2 linked regions of the Rattus norvegicus genome follow. The protein of the gene in region 1 purifies or fractionates together with the protein of each later gene. This does not show direct contact. Links are inferred from orthologs where the notes say so. Each region holds a gene or a part of one and is shown in the gene's direction. Other genes may lie near its edges. The genes, in order: Dnaja1 and Endog.

Region 1 (11,094 bases):
TGGGCACAGTAGATGCTTATCATGTGTTGTGATTTTGTGTATTTTTAGCTGTTTACATAGTGTCTATATCTATTTATACTTTTTGGCCATATAAGGATTTTAGTTAAAAATAAGGGCCATACATCTTCTGAACCAGGCAAGTCCTCAACTGGAGGGATTGGGACACCAACCCAGGCACAAAACCTTTGACCTACATACAATGTGTCCTGCCTGCAGGGTATGCTGGGACCTGAGCCTAGCAGAAGCGTCATCAAAGAAGTCAGAGAGATTTCATCTAGCAACAGATGGGAACAGAGGCAGAGACCCACAGCCAGACACTAGGTAGAGCTTGGGAAGGGGAGGTCTACTGAGGCAGAGGAGGAGAGACTGGGGGAACTAGAGGGGTCAGGAACACACCATGAGAACATGGCCCACAGAATCAACTGACGGGCACTCATGGGAACTTGAGAGATCAGGAAATCTATAGGAGTCTGACCTAGGTCCTCTACGTATATGTTATAGCTAAGTAGCTTGGTGTTCTTGTGGGAATCCTAACAGTGGGAGTGGGGGACTGTCCCTGACTCTCTTGACTACTTGTGGGACCCTTTCTCCCACTACTGGGTTGCCTCGTCCAGCCTTGGTGTGATGGTATGTGCCTGGTCTGACTGCATCTTGTTATGCAGTTTTTTTGGTCAACGTCCTGCTCTTTCCTAAGGGAGGGAGGGGAAAGAGGGAGAATCTATGGAAGAGGCATGGTGGGGAGGGGAAAGGCTGGGGTAGGAGAAGGAGGGAAAACCTCAGTCCATATATGAAAGAAGAATAAAGGGTGGGGGGCGTGTTTCAGTAGAGGACACTACAACTCTCAGTAACCATGTGGCCAGATCACAAGTGGCTGGAAGTGGCTGTGGGCAGTGACCAAATAGTAATGATTCATACTCTCTGCTAAGAAATAAGAATTGTTTTCAGAAGCTCTGGATGATTTTAGGAATGCCTGTGTCAGAGAGCTGCAACCTGGGCATGTCCAGGGCCTCACTATACTTTCACTCAGCTCACAGCCTACAAATACCCAGTGCTCATCTGAGATGATGAAAACATGCCTGGAGTGGCCGAGAAACCCGTGAACAGTGTCTGGAGAACGCCCTCTCTCCTGCGACCGGCCTGTGCCCTCCCCAGAAAAACAGAAGAGGTGCCAGCTGCGGTTCCAAATAGATGGACGCAGGATGACTTGGAGTTCAAGGTATCCTGAACTACACACCAAATTCAAGTAGCCTGGGCTACATGAGACTCTATCCTCCCCAAAAGAAAAGCAAAAGAGAAAAGGAGATGGGGTTAGGGGTAACTTAAATGAAAAGTTTGTACTTCTTAAGAACATTACAGACATATCAGCAAACATTCTCTCCCTTACCCTATCCTCACACCGGCAGTTACACTACCAAGCTGGATTAGAAGGCTGAGTGAGGATCCCTCTGTAAGGCAGGATGAATTAAGAATTAAGCTTTGGGGCTGGAGAGACGGCTCAATGATTAAGAGCACCGACTGCTTTCCAGAGGTCCTGAGTTCAAATCCCAGCAATCATATGGTGGCTCACGACCATCTGTAATAAGGGATCCGATTCGCTCTTCTGGTGTGTCTGAAGAGAGCGACACACACACACACACACACACACACACACACACACACACACACACGTGCATGTGCATGTGCAATAAGAGGAAACTGAACGGAAGGGCCAAATGTGGTGACTCATACCTGTAATCCTAGCATTTGGAGGCTGAGGCAGGAGGACTAACCTAAATTCAAGACCAGCCTGGGCCACAGAGTAAGACAGGAAGTATGGGATTTTTTTTTAATTTTATTATTTTAGGTGGACGTGTACTTTGTCTGTATGTATGTCTATGCACTGCATACATACACTGCATACATACACTGCATACAAAGAAAAAATGTTAAAGCAGTAAGATATTAACTTCTCACATACACTCCCAAACAGGGTCTTAAATATCCCAAGCAGCCTCAAACTTTCTATGTAGCCTCCGTTGGCCTTGAACTCCTGAGCTTCCTACATGAGCCTCCCAAATGCTGGGATGACAGGTCAAAACCAACGCATTTAATTAAGTTTTGACTTGTAAAGCTGGCAAACATTTAACAGAACAACAAGAAAGCAAATTAGAATCCCCTACACTCGGAAGGCTCATTCACACACGTGCTGCTGGAAGCAGCTTGAACCAGCATACAAAGTCGATATAACTTTCAATTTGCAGTCGCATTGGCTCAGCGGTTAGGTGTTTGTCCTAAAGAAATATTTGCTGCAAGTGTGGTGGTAGAGGCCTGCAATCCCAGCTCTTTTCAGGCTGAGTCAGGAGGATTGCAAGTTTGAAAACAACCTGTGCTGCATAGAGGTCTAGAAATTGGGTGTGGTAGCGTATGCCTGTGAAGCTTGAAGGGTCAATGGCTCCCTGCTTCGGGGGAGCTGAAATCCACCCACCTCCCCTGCTTTCCCCCCTTTTATTTTCGAATCACTTCAATCAACTCTAATCTACAAAGGAGGATCATGTTTTTGAGGCTGGCTTGGACTACACAGAGGGTTCGCGGTCTCAACTCTGTGAGGCCTATAGGAGGTTGAAAAAGCACGAAAGAAAAATAAAGTTTGTATGAGAACCTAAAACTGTATTTGGAGATCTTCAACACTTAACCATAAAATACTGGAAACTGCTGAAACATTGAATAGGGAACAGGAAACCACATCAAAAATAACAAGGCTGATTTATTTACCCCAACAAAACGATGTTGTAAACAACTCGTGCAAGACGGTTTTCTTTCTTCTTTTTTTTTTTTTTTTTTTTTTGGGAGCTGGGGACCGAACCCAGGGCCTTGCGCTTCCTAGGTAAGCGCTCTACCACTGAGCTAAATCCCCAGCCCCTGTTTTTTTTCTTCTTTGCAGTCCTAAGAGTTGCACCTGGGGCTTGAACAGGCTAAGAAGCACTCATTCTGTGAGTTAGGTTCTCACTCCCAAAGATGGTGTTACACCTAATTCGAGTGACCTTGAGTTCACCAGCCTCTTGGTTCTGCTTCCTAGTTCTGAAATTTCAGGTGAGATCTCATTTCCGTGCCCCCCCCCCAAAAAAAACACATATGAAGTTGCTGGACATTTTTTGGGCTGTTTGTTTGTTTTGAGATAGTGTCTTACTCTGTAGCTCTGTCTGTCCTGGAACTTGCTATGTAGACTGGGCTGGCCTCTGTATCAGAGATCTGCCTGCCTCTGCCTTCAGAGTAAAGGCGGACTTTATCAGCCTAGCCCGATTTTTTTTTTTGTTTGTTTGTTTGTTGGTTTGTTTGTTTGTTTGGTTGGTTGGTTTTGGGGTTTTTTTTGTTTGTTTTTTTTTGTTTTTAATTCTGTTTTTTTTTTTTCTTCTCTCATTACAAGTTAAGTTCCTTGAGGGTAGGGGCCATGGCTTACAAAAGTTTTGTATTGACAAGGCCTAGAGTACACCTGGCATATTAGGTAATTTACTCCAAAGCGCTGGCTTAAAGCAGCAGTTCTCAACCTGTGGGTCTTCATCCCTTTGGCAAACCTTTAGCACACATTTATATTACAACTCATAGCAGTAGTAGCATACAGTTATGAAATAGCAATGAAAATAATTTTATGGTTGGGGGGTCTCCACAACATGAGCTAGAATAAAGGGTTGCAGCATTAGGAAGGTGGAGAACCCCTGCTTTAAAGACATAACCTATTGCTAGATGTGATATCTGAGAAGGCAACATGAGATGAGAAAGATCAGATGTCTCTCAGCCAAAACCAGAGCACATAATCAACCATCTATGGCGTAGTGTTAGTGACTGAGTTTAGTGAAAGCAGTAATGGTGGTGGGGCAGAGCAGTACAACATTGAAATTCTAAAACCATTAGCTTTTTAAGACTAAGAGCTGGGCTGGAGAGATGGCTCAGTGGATAAGAGCACTGACTGCTCTTCCAAAGGTCCTGAGTTCAATTCCATGTTGTGGCTCATAACCATCTGTAATGGGATCTGATGCCCTCCTCTGGTGTGTACGAAGACAGCAACGGTATCCTCATAAAAGAATAAAAAAAAAAAAAAAAAAAAGACTAAGAGCTAAAGATGTCTTTGGGCAGGTTTGAAGGCAGCCTTTACAGCTCCCTTAGCTCTGGCTACATCCCTGTGACCTCCTTAAAGCACTGCTCAGCTGGTGAAGCACAGAAGACCCGAGTTACCTGTGTAAAGGAGAGAACTACAATAATGGTCCACAGTTAAAACACACACAATATAACAAACATTTAACACATCTTATTCCACAAAAGTCTAAGCAGGAGGCCCCATGGTCTTCCTCTTCACAACTGCTCAGAGGCTGAAGAGTTCAGAGTTTGAAGCCAGCTTTGGCTACAAAGAGAGTACCAGGCCAGTCTGGGCTCAAAAACAAGGCTAAGGGGTGTAGAGAGATAACTAATCCGTTTAAAGCACTGGTTGCTCTTGCAGAGGCCCCAGGTTCACTTCCTAGCATCCACGTGGTGACTTAAAATTATCTGTACCTCCAGTTACCACAGGAACTAGGTATGCATGGGGTGCATAGACACACATGTAAACAGAACACTCATATACAAACAGTAACTAAAAAAACCTTAGAAGTCAAACAAGAAAACTAAATAATAAAATGTGACTAAGTTATCTGGAATAGTCAAATTCATAGATTCTATGTCTCTGGCTTCCTTGGGCACCTATACACACAGATACACACGATTGGAATTAAATCTTTTTAAACTATGTGAACTCTTTAAGCTTGCACCTCCACTTCTTTGATGTGTCTATTGTGTTACTGAATAAGAAAAACATTCACTGTCCCTTGAAAGCTTAAGATTCAACTTTGCCAACTATAGATTTTGATTCACTAACTGGAAATAAAAACGGTCAAAAAATTGAAACAATAAACTAAAGCAATTAATTTCGTGTTTTGCTGCTACTCTGCAGCCAAACTGGGTGGCAGACTGACTAAAAAGGTGCGTGAAGCATTCTAAATGTTTCCTGTTTGGTGCAGTCCCAGGTTCTGTCCGCCCAAGTCAGAGCCAGAAGGATCTGAAGCCTGGGCTCATCCAAAAAGCTGTGACAGGAGTGCGCTTGGGTGAAACCACCGGATCCAAAGCCTGCAAGGCTAGTCTAGGGACTAGGCCCGCCTTGCTCAGCATTTCTTGCCCGCAAGGCTCAGAGCTAAGGAGCTGCAGAAAATTAGACTCCGGTGAGGTTAGGATCCCTTCTGCACAGCGCCTGAAGCACTCGTCCCCGGCTTACGGCTCTGGGACATGACCTCTCCACCTCAAGACTTCCGCCCTCTGGTACCTCGCATAAAGAAAAAGCCTCTAGAAGATTCTACAAGGATCGGGAACCCGGGCCTGAGTCCACCCCCACAAGGCCCTTGGGCGCAGCCACTCTCCGCCCCCGCGCCGTTGCCCAGGTAACCGAGGGGCGGTGGCAGAAGCGAGGGGCGGGACTTCCGGCAAGTGACGCGCCCGGGCTCCGCTACAAAAGAGGTCGGCTGCGGCGGGCCGGGCGGAACTTTCCAGAACGCTCGGTGGGTGGTAGAGGAGCAGCGTCTGGCCGAGCTGCGCTGTGCTACGCTCCTCTTTCCGCTCTCCGGCGCCGGCCCGCTCACCGGTGAGTCTAGGTCCTTGGGTCTCCCTCGGTCGCGGCGTGCGGCCTGGGCACCAGACAGCCGGGGAAGCCGCAGCCGGAGGCGGTTGGTCCCGCGTGGGCGGGGACTGTGGGTTCCCTGAGCCGGGCTCGGTCTTCGGAAGGCTGCCGGGAATGCCCGGCGCCCTGCCCGCCCGCACGCCACGAGGCGGCCCAAGGCCGAAGCCAATTCGCCTCCCGCCTCAGACTCTTCGGTGCGCACCGCCGCCCGGGCTGGGTGGGCAGCGCTGCGCACGCGCGGACCGAGGCAGGGGTGAGGGGCTGCGGGAGGAGCGGGGCGGAGGCTGCGGCTTGCGCTTCTCCTGGCTCTCCTCCCTTTCTTTGTTGAGTCCGGCCTTCCCCCTCCGCCTTTTCGATCAGGGTGGGAGGGAGAAAGGAAGGAAACCTTAACGGTCGGCGCCAGGTGCCGGGGAAACCCAGAGGGCGAGTCAGCTCCGCAGGCCTGAGGGGCGAGAGTGGGTAAGTTGCGAGCGAGCAGGAGCAGGATGGCGAAGGGGCCTGGGCACCTGCTCTCTCGAGCTGGTCTCATAAGCCACTCCTCCACCCCCGGGTGTCCAGTGTCCCTTTCCGGCGAGGGTATGGCCTTTATCAGATGTACAAAGGCAGTGGTAATGTACTAACCAGTGGATGGAACCTATCAGTGCTGCTTTGGGTTACTAGCAAAACCTCTGGGGGAAAGGAAACCGGAAGAAACCCAATAATTCATGTGTTAGTGCAGTAGAGCAGGAACCAGCTGCTAGACAGACTTTCCTTCGCCTTCCCTGAAATTTAAATTTAGTCTGTTAGAATTTACAGCTGAATCATAGCAGGAATTTTTACCTTTTAAGACGTTTAGGGAAGGCTGTATTAATATGAGATAAAGGCAAAAAACCAGATTGCTTTAGTTCTGGTAGTTAAAAACTATAAGTTAAGAGCCAGTCATCTCTCAGGAGGCAGAAGCAGATGTTTTTTTTTTGTTTTGTTTTGTTTTGTACAAAAGGTAAAAGCAAGTTTAAAATTATCATTTTCTGATTTCAGGCTGTAAAAAATGGTGAAAGAAACTACTTACTATGATGTTCTGGGGGTCAAACCCAATGCCACCCAGGAAGAATTGAAAAAGGCATATAGAAAATTGGCCTTGAAGTACCACCCTGATAAAAATCCAAATGAAGGAGAAAAGGTAAGCAGCTCAGCAGTGTTGCCATGTGAATTAAGTCTGTACGGTAGCTGTGCTTTCTAACAGTTGTTTCTAATGGGATATCCTTTTCTGAAACAGTTTAAACAGATTTCTCAAGCTTATGAAGTTCTTGCTGATTCCAAGAAAAGGGAACTATATGATAAAGGGGGCGAGCAGGCGATTAAGGAGGGCGGAGCAGGTGGAGGTTTTGGCTCGCCCATGGATATCTTTGATATGTTCTTTGGAGGAGGAGGAAGGATGCAAAGAGAAAGGAGAGGTAAGAAAAAAATCTAGCTTACCTGCAGCAGAACAAAGTAACTGCTGATGAAAGAAAGACTTGAGAATTTATTTAAATGTTTTTTTACTCTTTAGCGTGATGTTACATTCTGTCCATGAACTGTCTCTGACTTCTGGTGTCATTTATAATTGAGTTGCTGTGGTTGTTTGGTTTGTTTGGTTTTTTATAATTTTTATTTTATGTGCACTGATGTTTTTGCCTGCATGTATGTCTGGATGAGGGTGTCAGATCTTGGAGTTATAGACAGTTGTGAGCTGCCATGTGGATGCTGAGAATTGAACCCTGGTCCTCTAGAAGAGCAGCCAGTCCTGTTAACCACTGAGCCTTCCCTCTAGCCCCTATAATTGAGATTTTATGTAACCAAAAAGTAGCTAAGCCAAAAAAGCAGGTATAACCAACTCCATATATTTTCAAACAGTAGGGTAACAAATTGTAGTAACAACTTAGGGTTTCTGGGCTGGAGAGATGGCTCAGTGGTTAAGAGCACCGACTGCTCTTCCAGAGGTCCTGAGTTCAAATCCCAGCAACCACATGGTGGCTCACAACCATCCGTAATGGGATCTGATGTCCCTTTCTGGTGTGTCTGAAGACAGCTACAGTGTACTCATATACAAAATAAATAAATCTTTAAAAAAAAAAAAAACTTAGGGTTTCTAAGCCCTTTTGTATCTTAGATAATATCACCTGCTCTTAGAACTCAGTGGTAAGTGCAGTGGCCTTTTTCTGTTAAAAATATGTTGGAGAAGGGGTTGGGGATTTAGCTCAGTGGTAGAGCGCTTGCCTAGGAAGCGCAAGGCCCTGGGTTCGGTCCCCAGCTCCGAAAAAAAGAACCAAAAAAAAAAAAAATATATGTTGGAGAAAACGAAACCTTTTCAAGCAAAGACTGGATACAGCTCGTTGCCTCCAGATAGCCTGCTGCCTGTTTACTCTTCAGCTTCATTAGCTCAGCTTAGATGCATTGACTGTTGGATCAAAAGACGTATTTTATGGGAAGACAGTATTGGAGGTTAAAATGGCACTTTGTTCTCAATATAGTTAATACAAACTAATGGGTAGGCACAGTTAGAACAAATCGGCAGCCCATTAAATTTCACTTTGCCCTTTTAAAGGTTTAAGAAGACTTGAAAATCTGTTTACTGTGTTTTTATAAGAATTTACCTATGGGCCTGAGAAATTGCTCAGTGGTTAAGAACATTTGCCATTCCTTGCAGAAGATCCAGATTTTGTTTCCTAGCACCCACATTAGATAGCTGGCTCACTACTGCCTGAAACTCTAGCTAGCTCCAGGGGACCAGACAACCTCTTTTGGCCTCTTGGTTAAACATGTATGCACAAAAAATAAAAACCTATAATCCCAATCAACTGCTAACCATAAGATGGTATGAGCTACAGAAAAGTTATGACTAAACCTTTTTGGCTTAGATCAGTTTGAGGGGTTTTGTTAACTTGTTGCTGCTTTGGAAAATGTACTTGGTCATTTTCCAGAAGCTTTATTTTTCCTTTCTTGTATTCAGTATAAAGTTGAGAAAGCTCTAACTTTCAATTTGAGAACCTACATGCTTACATGTTCTCTTTATGATAATAAAAATACAAAGTGAAGCTAGAAGCACAATGTAGTGAGACTTTTAATAACCTCATTTAAAGAGTAAATATTTTTTTACGTATGATATTCAGAAAGGATTGGAACTTTATTTAGTAGTTAGGCAATGTTGATAGCGGTGGATAAAGTCCTAGTGGAAGGATCACTAGCTAGGAACTTATTAACCGTTGGTGGGTGATTTCATTTTTGTAACCAGGTTGTCCTTATGTGATCTCAACCAACCTACTTCCTGTTGTAGCTAATTATATGTGGCAATCTTTTGTCACTAGCCAGATAGGGGTCTTCAAGTTGAGTTAATTTAGAGGGGGGGGAAATTCTGTCCAGCTATAGTAGCCACCACACTTAAAATTGTATCTAGTAATTATGATTAGTGATTACAGTATTATACAAATAAAATGTGTCCATCATTACAGAAAGTTCTGTTGGACAATATTATAACAAAAGGCCTGGGTAATTTGAGACACCAATGTTAGCCTAGCAGTAAAAACTATTGAAACAGAAATAGAAATTGCTATTTCAGTAGTGTCTCTATTGGCTTCTCTGGCCAATCTTGATTAGAAAGAATTTACTGTGCTAAAGAATGTTTGGATTAAGTAACTGGCCATGTTGCTTAATAATGCCTAACAAGTAAAACTTTCAAAGGGATACATGCTTTGCATTGTGAAATGTGCCTGAACATTGACTTTTAAGGGTAGTATTTTAATTGCTGGATTTCTAAGAGGGTCTCTTGTGTTGATGAACTGCTCAGTTTTCTCATCTATGATTAGGTAAGCTTGAGAATCAAGTGATTGGAGGAATGTTGTGAGTATAGTTCAAAAAGATATGTAGCATGAGGCTGGTCTTCCATTATCTTTTGCCATTTTTATAGTGCCTTCAACAATGAAACGTTACAGATGGGTATTTAATGAGCAATGTTTTTATTCTAGGTAAAAATGTCGTGCATCAGCTCTCAGTGACCTTAGAAGACTTATATAATGGTGCAACAAGGAAACTGGCTCTGCAAAAAAATGTGATTTGTGACAAATGTGAAGGTAAGGGTTCTTAAGTGTGCTGAGTTGTTGTTAGTGGGGTTGTTGATGGTTTTTGAGAATAGGTTTTTGTAGGTTTGTTCCCCCCCCCCCCCCCAGCTGGGGACCGAACCCAGGGCCTTGCGCTTCCTAGGGCAAGCACTCTACCACTGAGCTAAATCCCCAACCCCAGTTTTTGTAGATTTAAGCTGGCTTTATCTTTTCTTCCTCAAATTTCTGAGCCACAGGGATTACCCCATACCTACCTAACTTCTAAAACTGAAATGCAACACTAAAAGCAGCTGAATCTTCTACCAAGAGAAACACAATGACTTTGTTGTGACATTTTCATGCCTGTATATAATTTTCATCATTGCTCTCTTCTCCAACTCCTCTTCCTTACATTCCTCTGTGTGCCTGTGGTTTGATGGCCCAGTGAGTCCTATTAGAGTTGTTTACAGGAATGGGGAAGGACTGTTCCCCAAAGGACAGGCACCACAATCAGTTAGCTACATGTAGAAGAAAATGTCTCTTCAGGGATGAGGCCTGGTCATCTGCTCCTTCCTTTATGACAAGATGTTGATGGGCCTAATCCTGTGTAGATCCTAACACTTTTTTTAAACAACACTTTGTACATTTTATATGTATGTTGTGTTTGTGTGGGATGTCAGAAAACTTGCAGTAACTAGTTTTTCTTCAACCATGCATGCATTAAAAATCAAACTGGGGTTGGTTAGACTTGGTGGCAAGTATTTTTCAAACTCTGATCTGTCTCAGTGGCACTAAATTAGCATCTTTTTGAAATTAATACTTAAGTTTTGTTTTTCATTTGTTATTGTTGGTTGGTTGGTCATCCAGGCTTCTGTCTCTAGTTCCTGAGTGCCTCCTAGTGTTAAATGTACAGTGTATACTACAGCATTTTGTCTACCCTTTTTTTTTTTTAAAGAAAAAAAAAGGATGGTCCTGATTCCAGGCATGTTTTAGATCTCTTATGAGATCGGCAAAACCTTGTCTCAAAAAAATTGTGCTGTGGGAACACATAATGTAAGATTGTGGTACAGGCTGTCTTGGAGTTACTGCTCATCTCACTACTCCCTTAAAGTGTTCTGAAAGTGAAATTCACTGTTAAGACCGCCCACTTCTTGAAGCTGACTAAAAAGGCTTGACACTCCATAACACCTGTCCCTTGTTTTGCTTTCCTGTGTGTTTATCTATGTACTGCTGCATGCAGTACCTGTGGAAGCCAGAAGTTCAGATCCCTCTGGAACTGGAGTTAAAGAGGATGTTTGTGAGCCACTATGTGGGTGCTGAGGAACAACCCCAGGCCCTCTGGAAAAGCAGCCAATCTTAATCCTT
Region 2 (11,053 bases), on another chromosome or scaffold:
TTTTCCTGTTCTCTTTCAGTCAGTTATGGGAACAGTGTTCTGTTTTCAGGCGTGTAGTCGTTCCTGTTTACTGGTCTTCAGGTGTTCCTGTGGGCGTGTGTCCTGAGTTGACAGGCAGGTCACTTGGAGCATAAAAGTTCGTCTTACCTCTAGTCTCAGGCCTGGAGTTGCTTCTCAGAGTCAGGTTTCAGCTCTCTGTGAGGGCAGCATCCAGAAGGGCCTGCCCCGACTTTGCTCAGGACCCTGTGCACAGGGGGCACAGATGGCGCTAGGTGTTTTCCTCTAGAGTCAGAAATGTGGGCAGAGAGTAGTCTCCTCTGGCTTCCCAGGCGTGTCTGCCCCTCTGAAGGTCTAGCTCTCCCTCCCATGGGATTTCGTTGCAGGGAGCTGTTTGACCAGGTTCCTTCAGATCCGGGCGGTGTCTGGACCGCAGCGTTCAGTGCCCCATCTTCTTGTTCCCAGACGTCCTATATAGTTTCCTCTTGGGCCAAGTATGTGGGCAAGGGTGGGAAGTTCTGGCGGGTCGGTCTCTCCTGCCCTGCAGTCTCAGGAGTGTCCACCTATCTGGGTGATGCGTTCTCTCTCCCACGGGGTTAGGGAGCAGGGAATGTAGTCAGTGCTCTTAACCACTGAGCGGTCACTCCAGCCCCGTCAGCGTTTTTTCAAATTGGCATCTCTAATACTGATGTGGGACTAGTGGATTAAATCCTGCATCCTCAGGGTCCCATGTGAAGAACGATGGATCTTTTTCAGTATGCTTTTACCCATTTTCTCTGGTACAACTAGTTTGTAGTCAGCTGCCCTCCATCATCTCTTATGACACTGAGACCGGGGAAGCCCAGCTCACAACTTCTGTCTCATCAGAGAGTGTGGGGTCTCCTGGGTCTAAGGCATCAAGGACATGAGGGGTCCAATTTCCAGGGCCACCCGCCGGGCTGTTTGCTGTACTTTGGGATGGAGTGGGGCTCTTCTGCCTTCAGAAGTTTTCTCTCCCTGTAAATAGCCCCACAGATATGAGTGCTAGCAAAGGCACAGCGGCCATCAGTGTCTCTTGTCTTTCTCAGCTCTAACACCTTAATCAGACCTGGCAGTTCAGCTTTCTGGGCTGAAATTCCTGTCAGGAGTAACTCTGCCCATATGATCTCGGTGTTTGTGACTACTGCTGTCCCAGCATAGCTCTGTCTATCCCAGATGGGTCTGTTGCCATTGGTAAGCCATGGTACCTCTGCATTCTTCAGAGCAGTTATGAAGAGGCCAATCAAAGTCAAGGTCAGGTAGCAGGGCAGCTGAAGTGATCCTGGGGCATTCAAGAGAAGAGGCTGGTAATGAATTATTCTGGCATCATCTTTAACCAGGAGGTCATTGCTGCACTGATGTGTAAACAGGGCGGGGCCGCCTTCTGCCAATTGGTGACACATTAGCCAGTGGCTGACACCAGGGCCCCCAGTCTGAGTATGCATCCCTGGGTTTAGGGAGGTCACATGCAGTTGGCCGAGTTAGGGCTTCTTAGTGGAGGCTCAATAGTCCAATTTTCTAGAGCCTCTAAGAGGTCCTCTGTTTTTATTTCTATTGCCACTGGGAAGTCATTTATAAATTGATGAAGAGAATTTTTTTTTTTTGGTTCTTTTTTTCGGAGCTGGGGACCGAACCCAGGGCCTTGCGCTTCCTAGGCAAGCGCTCTACCACTGAGCTAAATCCCCAACCCCAAGAATTTATCTTCAGGCTTTACCAAGACAGAATGTAAACTTTATTAATTATCAACAAAAAGCCGGTGGATTTTTTTTTTTTTTGGTTCTTTTTTTTGGAGCTGGGGACCGAACCCAGGGCCTTGCGCTTCCTAGGCAAGCGCTGTACCACTGAGATAAATCCCCAACCCCAAGCCGGTGGATTTTACTTTTACTTTTAGGGTTACTCCAGGTTTGGGGAGGGGGTGCTTTTGGTCTTCAGGGCCCCCTTACCTCCTTCTTCTGAAGTTATCTGTTTTAGGCATCTCCTATGGACTTCTGGTTTGGCCATGGTTGCCAAAAGGAACTTTGCCGGATCTCACGTCTGTTGGTCCTGACCTCTCATCTGCTTCTCCTCTGCAGTCTCTCTCTCTCTCTCTTTTAAAATACCTTCTTTGCCACTAAGTTCCTCACATTCCTTTCTCCTAACCTCTCAACCCTCTAGAGCTTTTTCTAAATATCTGGTGCTGCATGATTAATAAAAGCTAGAGTAACTGCTGCCTTTGCCTCTGGTGCAGAGTCCATTGGGAACTATTGTTGAAATGTCTCCATGACCCTCTCCACAAAAGCTGCAGGCCTTTCCTTTTCTCCATGCCTAATGTCATACACTCTGGACAAATTTGTGGGCTTTCTTGCAGGTGCCTTGAGACCTAACAGCAGAACCTGACAATAGTCTAAGGACCTGCTCTCAGACTGGGTGGTGTGAAAATCCCAGTCTGGGTGAGATAGGGGGAAGTAAGCATCCACAGTTGCTTGGTTACTGGTGGGCTCCCCTGTGGGGCCAGGAACCAGCTTTCTGGCCTCTTCTTTGGTGAAGGGAACCTGTAGAATGTGGTAGACGTAACCTGCTTCATGTTAATATAGCCATCAAAGTCCAAGTCACTTTATCAAAGTCACCTTGTAACGAGAAACACAAACACAACACAACACCACAACAAACAAGAAAAATAAAACAAAAAAACCCCTGAGAAACAACAAGAAAGTGGCACTCATGACAAAGACCTCTCTATGACACCCAAAACACAAGTCCAACCTTTCCTCTCTATCAGGCAGAAACAAGAAACAACCAGAAAATGGAGTACTCACACAAGAAAAAAAGAACCAGATTGGTGGATGTCTCTCAGCTTCCTGGAGCTCTTGCATACCCCAGACCTAGACTGAGGACATCTCCTGGCCCTTCTTTAGCCACAGCTCCCAGACACGTCTGTCCTAACAGCAAACCAGTCACGGAAACAAATTCACAGCTTTGTTCACAGAAAGATGTGGCATTATTTGGAGTCAATGAACACAGAAAGGCACAACCAGAAACAAAAACCAAAAACAGAAAAAAATAGAGCCTACAATAAGGAGAATAAAGTAGAAAGTAGTGCTCACAGGAGATTGATGCAACACCTCTCTGAATCTGTGAACAGCCAGCCAGCAACAAAAACCAAAACTAGAGAAAAGATACAGCCTGCAGTAACAAGAAACAACCAGACGGTGGTGCTCACACAAGCAGTACTGCACAGATGTTTATTCAGACCTGGAAAAATCACCATGGCAACATAAGTCATTTATCTTTACACAGTTTTCGTTCCCCTCTGTACATCTCTTTTTGTTTGTTTGTTTGTTTGTTTTTTTTTCCGGAGCTGGGTACTGAACCCAGGGCCTTGTGCTTGCTAGGCAAGCGCTCTACCACTGAGCTAAATCCCCAACCCCCCTCTGTACATCTCACAGAAAACTTCTAACATTTAGACAAATTAGCCATCACACAAATCACAAGGTTTTGTACCATTGCCCATGTATTCACCCAGGTACAGTGTACTCACTGTAAATAAAATTTTAAAACAAAAGAAAACAAAATTATGTTGTCTGTATAGGTGTTTCGCCTACAAATCTTTTGGTGTTACAGATGGTTGTGGCCTGCATGTAGGTGCTGGAAACTGAACCTGGGACCATTGCTAGACCAACAAGTGCTCTGAATGCTGCACCATGACTTCAGCCCAAACTTGGTTCTTTTTTTTCCATTAATTTGTTTCAATGGTCCATGGTGGCACACACCTTTAATTCCAGCACTTGGACGGCAGAGGTAGGCAGATCTCTGAGTTCCAGGACAGACAGGGTTACACAGAGAAACCCTGTCTTAAAAAAAAAATTAACCAATCAACCAAATGTATTTATATGATTTCCCTCCAATACCCTTTGTTTGTCAACATGTACAGATGCCCTATGTCCCTATTTATCTTTTTTAAAAGACTTATTTTATTTATATGAGTACACTGTTGCTGTCTTCAGACACACCAGAAGGGGGCATCAAATTCCATTAAAGATATTTGTGAGCCACCATTTGGTTGCTGGGAAGTGAACTCAGGACTTTGTGAACAGTCAATGCTCTTAACCGCTGAACCATTTCTCCAGCGCCCTACCCCAATTATCTTTTAATGCATAATTGGTTCTGTCTCATGCTAATGGGTATAGCTGTGACTGTACACTCTCAGCCCAATTTTCTTCAGTTTTTTTTCCTTTTTTCTTTTTCTTTTTTTTTTTTTTTTCGGAGCTGGGGACCGAACCCAGGGCCTTGCGCTTGCTAGACAAGCGCTCTACCACTGAGCTAAATCCCCAACCCCTTTTCTTCAGTTTTTACATATCGTTCTTCCTTCACCTTAATAAGGTTGCAGTCTTAATATATTCATAGGTTAAATATTGCTTCATCTGATATGCAGGAAATATTCTTATCCAGCCCCTGTCCTGTGGACAGGAATCACTGGCCTACACAACCAACTTGCCAGGCCCAACCCATGAAACGGGTTGAGAAGTTAAGACACCAGGAAGTATAGCTGTTTTTGTTAACCTTATTAGCAAGTTTCAATTCCAGGCGGTTATCAGCAGCTACAGTTTTCACCTGCGTCCTACTGTTAGTCAATCTACAGGAATCCTTCGCTCATTTGGTGGCAGGAGGATGGGTGCACAGGAGGGGTCTGACAGATTTGGGGTTCTGTCCTGTTTAAAAGCAACTAGATTTCCCAGGGACTTGTGAGCAGTACAAGGCGAGGCGGAGCCAGACGTGGAACGACCAATGGCAAGCGGGTAGGGCGGTACCAGGCCCTTGCCCTGTCTTAAAAGGGCAGCTGAAGGGCGTGGGGGACACGGCACAGGCTCCTTCGCATTTTTGCTGTAGCTTTTTTTTCTTTAGGTAGCGCGCTGGTCCTCCGGTAGGCATGCGCGCGCTACGGGCCGGTTTGACCCTGGCGCTGGGCGCCGGCCTGGGCGCCGCGGCAGAGCATTGGCGGCGGCGAGAGGGTAAAGGGCCGGGGCTGCTGGGCCGAGTGCCAGTGTTGCCGGTTGTCGCGGCCGATCTTCCCGCGCTGCCGGGGGGACCGGCTGGCAGCACCGGAGAGTTGGCCAAGTACGGGCTGCCCGGCGTGGCGCAGCTCCGGAGCCGCGAGTCCTACGTGCTGAGCTACGACCCGCGCACGCGCGGTGCGCTCTGGGTGTTGGAGCAGCTGAGGCCAGAGCGGCTCCGTGGCGATGGGGACCGTCGCGCCTGCGACTTCCACGAGGACGATTCTGTGCACGCGTACCACCGCGCCACCAATGCGGACTACCGCGGCAGTGGCTTTGACCGCGGCCACTTGGCGGCCGCCGCCAATCACCGCTGGAGTCAGCGGGCCATGGACGACACCTTCTACCTGAGCAACGTAGCGCCTCAGGTAGTCCGGGACCCTTGTCGCCTGCCTCAACGCAGCGCCTAGATCTTACTTTACACGTGCATGGTGGCGGGAGGGAGGAATCCTATGGTCGCACTGGAGAGTCCCGGGTTCATCCCTCTTCAGCCTCCCGTGGCAAGCAGTGCACTAAGCAGTGATTAGCTGCAGCAATGTCAATAGCAAGCGACCCAAAGTGCTTCCTCAGGGAACCCTGGAGCTGGCCTACAGCAGCTGCCAGGGAAACAGCTGCCATGAAGTTGGGCTGCTGGTGCCAGTCACACCACCAGGACACATTGTTAGCACTACACCAGCTCCCAGCAGGGCCTTGATCGTGAAATAGGTTTCTGGGACATCCATTCAGTGGATGGAGATGAACAGGAGCCCACACAACACTCCACCCCTTTTTGTTGCTCGAAGTTTTTTTTTTTTTTTTTTGGTTCTTTTTTTTCGGAGCTGGGGACTGAACCCAGGGCCTTGCGCTTCCTAGGTAAGCGCTCTAACCACTGAGCTAAATCCCCAGCCCCAGTTGCTCGAAGGTTTGAGACAGGGTTTCTCTGTGTAGCCCAGGCTACCCTGGAACTCAAGAGATCTGCCTGCCTCTGCCTCCTGAGTGCTAGAATTACTCACACCTTTTTTTTTTTTTTTTGGTTCTTTTTTTTTTTTCGGAGCTGGGGACCGAACCCAGGGCCCTGCGCTTCCTAGGCAAGCGCTCTACCACTGAGCTAAATCCCCAGCCCCCTACTCACACCTTTTTTAGAGCTTGTCCTGAGGTTTGGGAGTTTCAAGGGACCTTAGGGGTCTCTGAGTGACTAATGTTCCCTCTTTCCTTTCTTTGAGTTGGGGAAAGCTTAAAGATTTGGAGTGCCAGGGATGGGGTGTGGCTAGCACTGGCTTAACACCTGTAGTCATATTGCCTCAAGGAGTGACCCCTTTCTTGAGCCCTGTCCTCCAAATGTTTGGGAATCGACCTTAGGACTTGGGACATCCCTAATAGAAGGTCCGAGGTGTGCTCCTGAGCCTGGCTTCTCCCACCAGGTGCCACACCTCAACCAGCATGCCTGGAACAACCTTGAGAAGTACAGCCGCAGCTTGACTCGAACTTACCAAAACGTTTATGTCTGCACAGGGCCTCTTTTCCTGCCCAGGTAAGGCTGCAGCTCCTGTTCTCCAACCTCATGCTTTCTGCATCACTGTAGCCGGAGACCTTAGGGTGGCCTAGAACTCTGTTGTGCCCGCAGGTGCCTGGCCTCACACCTGCCTTCCCCCCCCCCCCCCCCCCCCCCCGCTTCTCATGCCTCACCACCTGTAACCTGTTGCTACACAAGGGTCTCTCTCACCGCTGCCTCTGATCTTCCAGACAAGTGAGCCAGTTTTGCTCCTCTGGACAGCCGCAGGAAGTGTCACCAGCACAGGCTGCACGAGGCGGCAGCTGCTGAGGAAACTCTGTGGTGTCCACTGAGCATCAATCATGGCCTCCACTCATGCTTGTTTGGTGTACGGCCTATGGGACAGGTTCTAGTCGTGTGAGCATGGGTGAGCATCCAGGTCTAGAGAACTCATTAGAACTCATTCCTCTATCTTCATTTATTGCCACCCATTCTGTCTGAACCAGCATTGGGCAGAAAAGCATTGGTCCCCACCATACATAGTTCCCAGACCAAAGGAGGAATCAGGCACAAACAAACTTCTTGTTGGAAGTTAGGTCAGAGGAGGCTTCCTGGAAGAGGTGACCTTGAATCTAACCAGGCCTCTTGGCCACCTGTGCCTGGGTCTATCCACAGGACCGAGGCTGATGGGAAGTCCTATGTGAAGTACCAGGTTATTGGGAAGAACCACGTGGCAGTGCCCACACACTTCTTCAAGGTGTTGATCCTGGAGGCAGCCAGTGGGCAAATCGAGCTGCGTTCCTATGTGATGCCCAATGCCCCGGTGGATGAGACTCTCCCTTTGGAGCGCTTCCTAGTGCCCATCGAGAGCATCGAGCGGGCCTCGGGATTGCTCTTCGTGCCCAATATTCTGGCTCGAGCTGGAAACCTCAAGGCCATCACTGCTGGTAGCAAGTGATGGAGTAGGACTCACTCAAGACTCTGGGAGACGGCTCGCATTAAAGGCAGTTATTTTTGGAGAGAAGTCTTGACCATCTCTACTCCCTGTGATCCTCCTTGTCTTGCTGCTTCCTCTCATCCTGGATCCAGAGGGCTGTCAGGTGGGTCGCGCCCCTCCCTGGGTGAGGCCAGGCTGCAGAGCGGCCAGTGAGATGAGTATGGCCTCCTGGAATAAAAGAAGTTGGTTGTGACCTGGTAGGCAGGCAGCCTTCCTTTTCAGAGCCCCACGTGGGGTCTACCTCAGAGCCAGGAGGGGAAAGACGACTGGTTGGCAGGAATTAGTAACATGGGCAGGGCTTCAGACAGGGAGACTGGGGCTGCTCATCTGCAGAGTCACCGCCCCTGAGGCTGAAGGAGGAACAGAGCCTCCCTGTGATCCCCATAGGGACACAGCCCATGCTGGCCTCAAGGACGGTTGCATGGATCTGTGGATGCTGGGATCTTGTTCCACTTTCCCCAGGAACAGAAATGTCTAACACCCAGAGGGGACACTCGGAGGGGGGATGGGTTAAAAAAAAACAGAACCGAACACCCGGAGGGACCTAGGCAAGCACACGGAAGCCAGAGGGCCTGCAGAGGGACAGACAGGACACCTGGGTCCCTTGGCCTAGGCACGTGAGACTACTACAGGGCCAGGAAGGCAACTCCTGTGCTCTTGTATCCAGGTCCTGCCCCTAGTTTGCTGTGGTAAAGATCCCAGCTTCAGAAAAGCTATTTAAATGGGGCTGGAGAGATGGCTCAGTGGATAAGGGCACTGGCTGCTTTTCCTCAAGTCCTGAGTTCAATTCTCAGAATGCACATGACAGTTCCTAACTCTAGTCTCCTGGGATCCAACGCCCTCTCCCGATGTACAGATGGACACAAGTACATGCAGACAAAACATCCCTAAGTGTCTTTTAGAAAAGGCATGCTGTGTGGGTCACAAGAGCTGGGTGCCAGTGGCTGCGGCTCACCTCGGTGCGGATGGTACGACTGCCCTGGCTAGGGCATGTGTTGACATAAAAGTCGAAGAGGACACTGGGGTCAGCCACTTCAAGGTTCGGGTCAGCATCCACTCCAGCTTCTAGCCCTTGGAGGCCTCCGAACACCACAAGAGCATGCCTGGTACCCAGAGAGGGAGACACTGACACCAAGGCTCCACTGATTGCAGTCTCCAGAGCCTAAGGTCCCTAACCCGCTGTGGATTAGGGCCCAGTTCCTGTACTAAGCAGCACTCACCTGAAGTTGGGCAGCTGGGTAGAGGCCACGCTGGAGCCACGTTCTGATGTCCCAATGGTCAGGTCATACCCATCCTGGAAGGGAGCCTCGGCAAACACAGCACCTGGGGGTGGGCAGACTCAGTGGGGTCTTGCTCTCGGCTGTGTGTCTAGTACAGTGTAGGGTCAGGTGGAGGGAGAGGTCAGGTAAAGAAGGCATCCACTGCTCTTGGGACGCTGACCTTGCCTGGGGAACATTCGGGGTAGGCAGGGAGAAGCTCCCAAGCCCCAGACGACGTTTAGCAGTCATGATACTTAAGTCAGCAAGGTCTTGCTCTCAGGTATCTAAGCTGGTCTCAAATGACAGTGAGATTTCTGTGCTGGCCTCGCTAGAGCTAAGATTGCAGCAGGATAGGGGCCAAGCACCTCCTGTTCTCAGATGTTCTTAGCATTCACAGAGATGTTCGGGGAGACTGGGGTACCAGAGATGAGACCAGAGACTAGAGGAGGCTTCACCTACACACACATCTTGGTAGGACAGAGACCCTGATCTGTGGGTCTCACAAGTGGGACAGATGGACACTTGGGGAGGGACGTCAGTTCTTACTGAGGCAGGAGGCCAGCCGGACAGTGTAGCCCCAGTAGAGACCAGCTTTGGTGCGGGGGTCCTGTGACGACACGACTGTTCCTTTGTACGTCTTGCATTCTGGAGAATAGGACAGGCTGTGAAAACCAAGGAGGCCGGTAGCGAGGAGGCAGCTCTAAGGGGCAGCTGTCAGGGTCAAGGTGGCCCCCAATACCTGGGAGCTGCTGCTGGTTCAGCCGCACGGTCACCCGAAGTCCAGGGTCCAGTTTCTTATCAATCTTCACTTCCTGAAGAGAAGCTAGCACAAGTGAGAGGCACAACACAAAGGGGACAATGTCCTCAGAGACCCCAGGTCAATGTGCCACCCTGTTTCTGGCAGTGGGTGGGACCTGCTAAGAAGGGCTGTTCATGCAGAACAATTATACAGGGCATTGGTCAGCAATGCAAGCCCAGGGCTTACAACATGGAGAGAGACAGTGTCTACGAAGCTACACTTGGATCCGGCAAGATGGTTCACCGGGTAAAGGCTCCCGTCCCCAAGCTTGAGGACCTGAGTTCACTTCCTACACAGTGGGAGAACTGACACCTGCCAAGTTACCCTTTGACCTCACATTCATTCCTTGGCATGAGCCTATTTACCCACACACTCTCTCACACACAGATTAAAGGTGGAAAAATTTAAATCTACCTAACCTCAAAAACAGCAAAGCTGAGAACATACCATCATGGGGCATGATTAAAGCTCAGGAACGAAATCAACAGAAAAACAGCACAGCGCCAACAAGAAATCCAGAGCATGGTTCCTTCTCGCTTCCTTAGGTGTGTGGGTATTTTGGCTGCATGTGTGCCAGGGAGTTATGCTCATGTCTGGGGCCCATGGAGGCCACAAGAGGGCACCAGATTCCCCAGAAGGGAGTTCCAGGGCTTTGTGATCCACAGCAGGGTTCTGCGTGTTGAACATGGGTCCTCTGCAAGAGCAGCCCGTGCTCTGTAGCCTGTGAGCCACCTCTGCAGCCGCGAGGGGCTCCTCTCTGGAGCCCCACTTTGGGTTCATTAGTGTTTCACAGCAGGCCTGGAGTCCAGGTCTCCTCGTTCATGTGTCCTCACCTGTCTTTCATAGATAGCAAGTGTCCCCAAGTGTACCACAGGCCGCCTTCCCACTCCTACCTTCTTCATTCCACAGTTGACCAAAGAGCCGTGGCCAGCCTTGGTGGGCCGGTCCACCACGACGCCTTCTCTGAACTCAGATTCTTCATCCTGACGCATGTGGTGAGGGCTGTCCAACGGGTTGAGGATTCCTGGGCAGGGGACAGGAGGGTGACGTCAGGCCAGGCTCTACTCTGGGCCTGCCTTCCTACCTGGAGGTGTCTGTGGGGCGGGATGATTTCTCAGTGCCTGAGGATGAGCCAGGGGGGATGGGACAGGCACAGCAGCCGTACCTGCAAACTGCAGATCCTGGTGCTTGGGGAAGAACGCTTTCCTCAGATACCTAGGCAGGAATGCAGCTGTCAGGACCGTCACGGGGAGGCTGCCCCCCAGCTACCTCAAAGGTGATGCCACCCTCACCTCACACTTACTGTGGACACTCCAGGTACTGCAGGATGCGGGCCAGCTGGACACATGCCTGCCCCTTCTTGCCAACGCCCCTGAATTCTCCCTCCACACTCCTGGAAAGATTAAGACAGGCCTCCAGACCCAAGTGCTGGGTTGCTGAGATGGCTAATCCTGAAGACCGAAATTCCATGCCCACAACCCC

What was found.
Region 2: the proteins of Dnaja1 (region 1) and Endog purify together in Homo sapiens (affinity purification with mass spectrometry; 3 studies listed by BioGRID and IntAct, counting the BioPlex papers as one, with this or other methods). This does not show direct contact. The link is inferred for Rattus norvegicus from reciprocal best matches to the Homo sapiens genes DNAJA1 and ENDOG.

What each region holds. Positions count from the first base shown.
Region 1 is NC_086023.1:60,632,874-60,643,967, forward strand, and holds the start of Dnaja1 (dnaJ homolog subfamily A member 1), read left to right. Parts: upstream 1-5,530; 5' UTR 5,531-5,641; intron 5,642-5,922; exon of another isoform or gene 5,923-6,000; intron 6,001-6,694; 5' UTR 6,695-6,704; coding exon 6,705-6,836; intron 6,837-6,932; coding exon 6,933-7,110; intron 7,111-9,657; coding exon 9,658-9,762; intron 9,763-11,094.
Region 2 is NC_086021.1:33,842,038-33,853,090, forward strand, and holds Endog (endonuclease G, mitochondrial precursor), read left to right. Parts: upstream 1-4,897; 5' UTR 4,898-4,921; coding exon 4,922-5,413; intron 5,414-6,445; coding exon 6,446-6,555; intron 6,556-6,969; exon of another isoform or gene 6,970-7,191; coding exon 7,192-7,474; 3' UTR 7,475-7,494; downstream 7,495-11,053. Other genes in the region: Spout1 (putative methyltransferase C9orf114 homolog), read right to left, coding at 7,613-7,681, 8,469-8,616, 8,734-8,836, 9,319-9,417, 9,512-9,584, 10,465-10,595, 10,737-10,786, 10,875-10,964. UniProt on the Homo sapiens protein: Endonuclease that preferentially catalyzes the cleavage of double-stranded 5-hydroxymethylcytosine (5hmC)-modified DNA.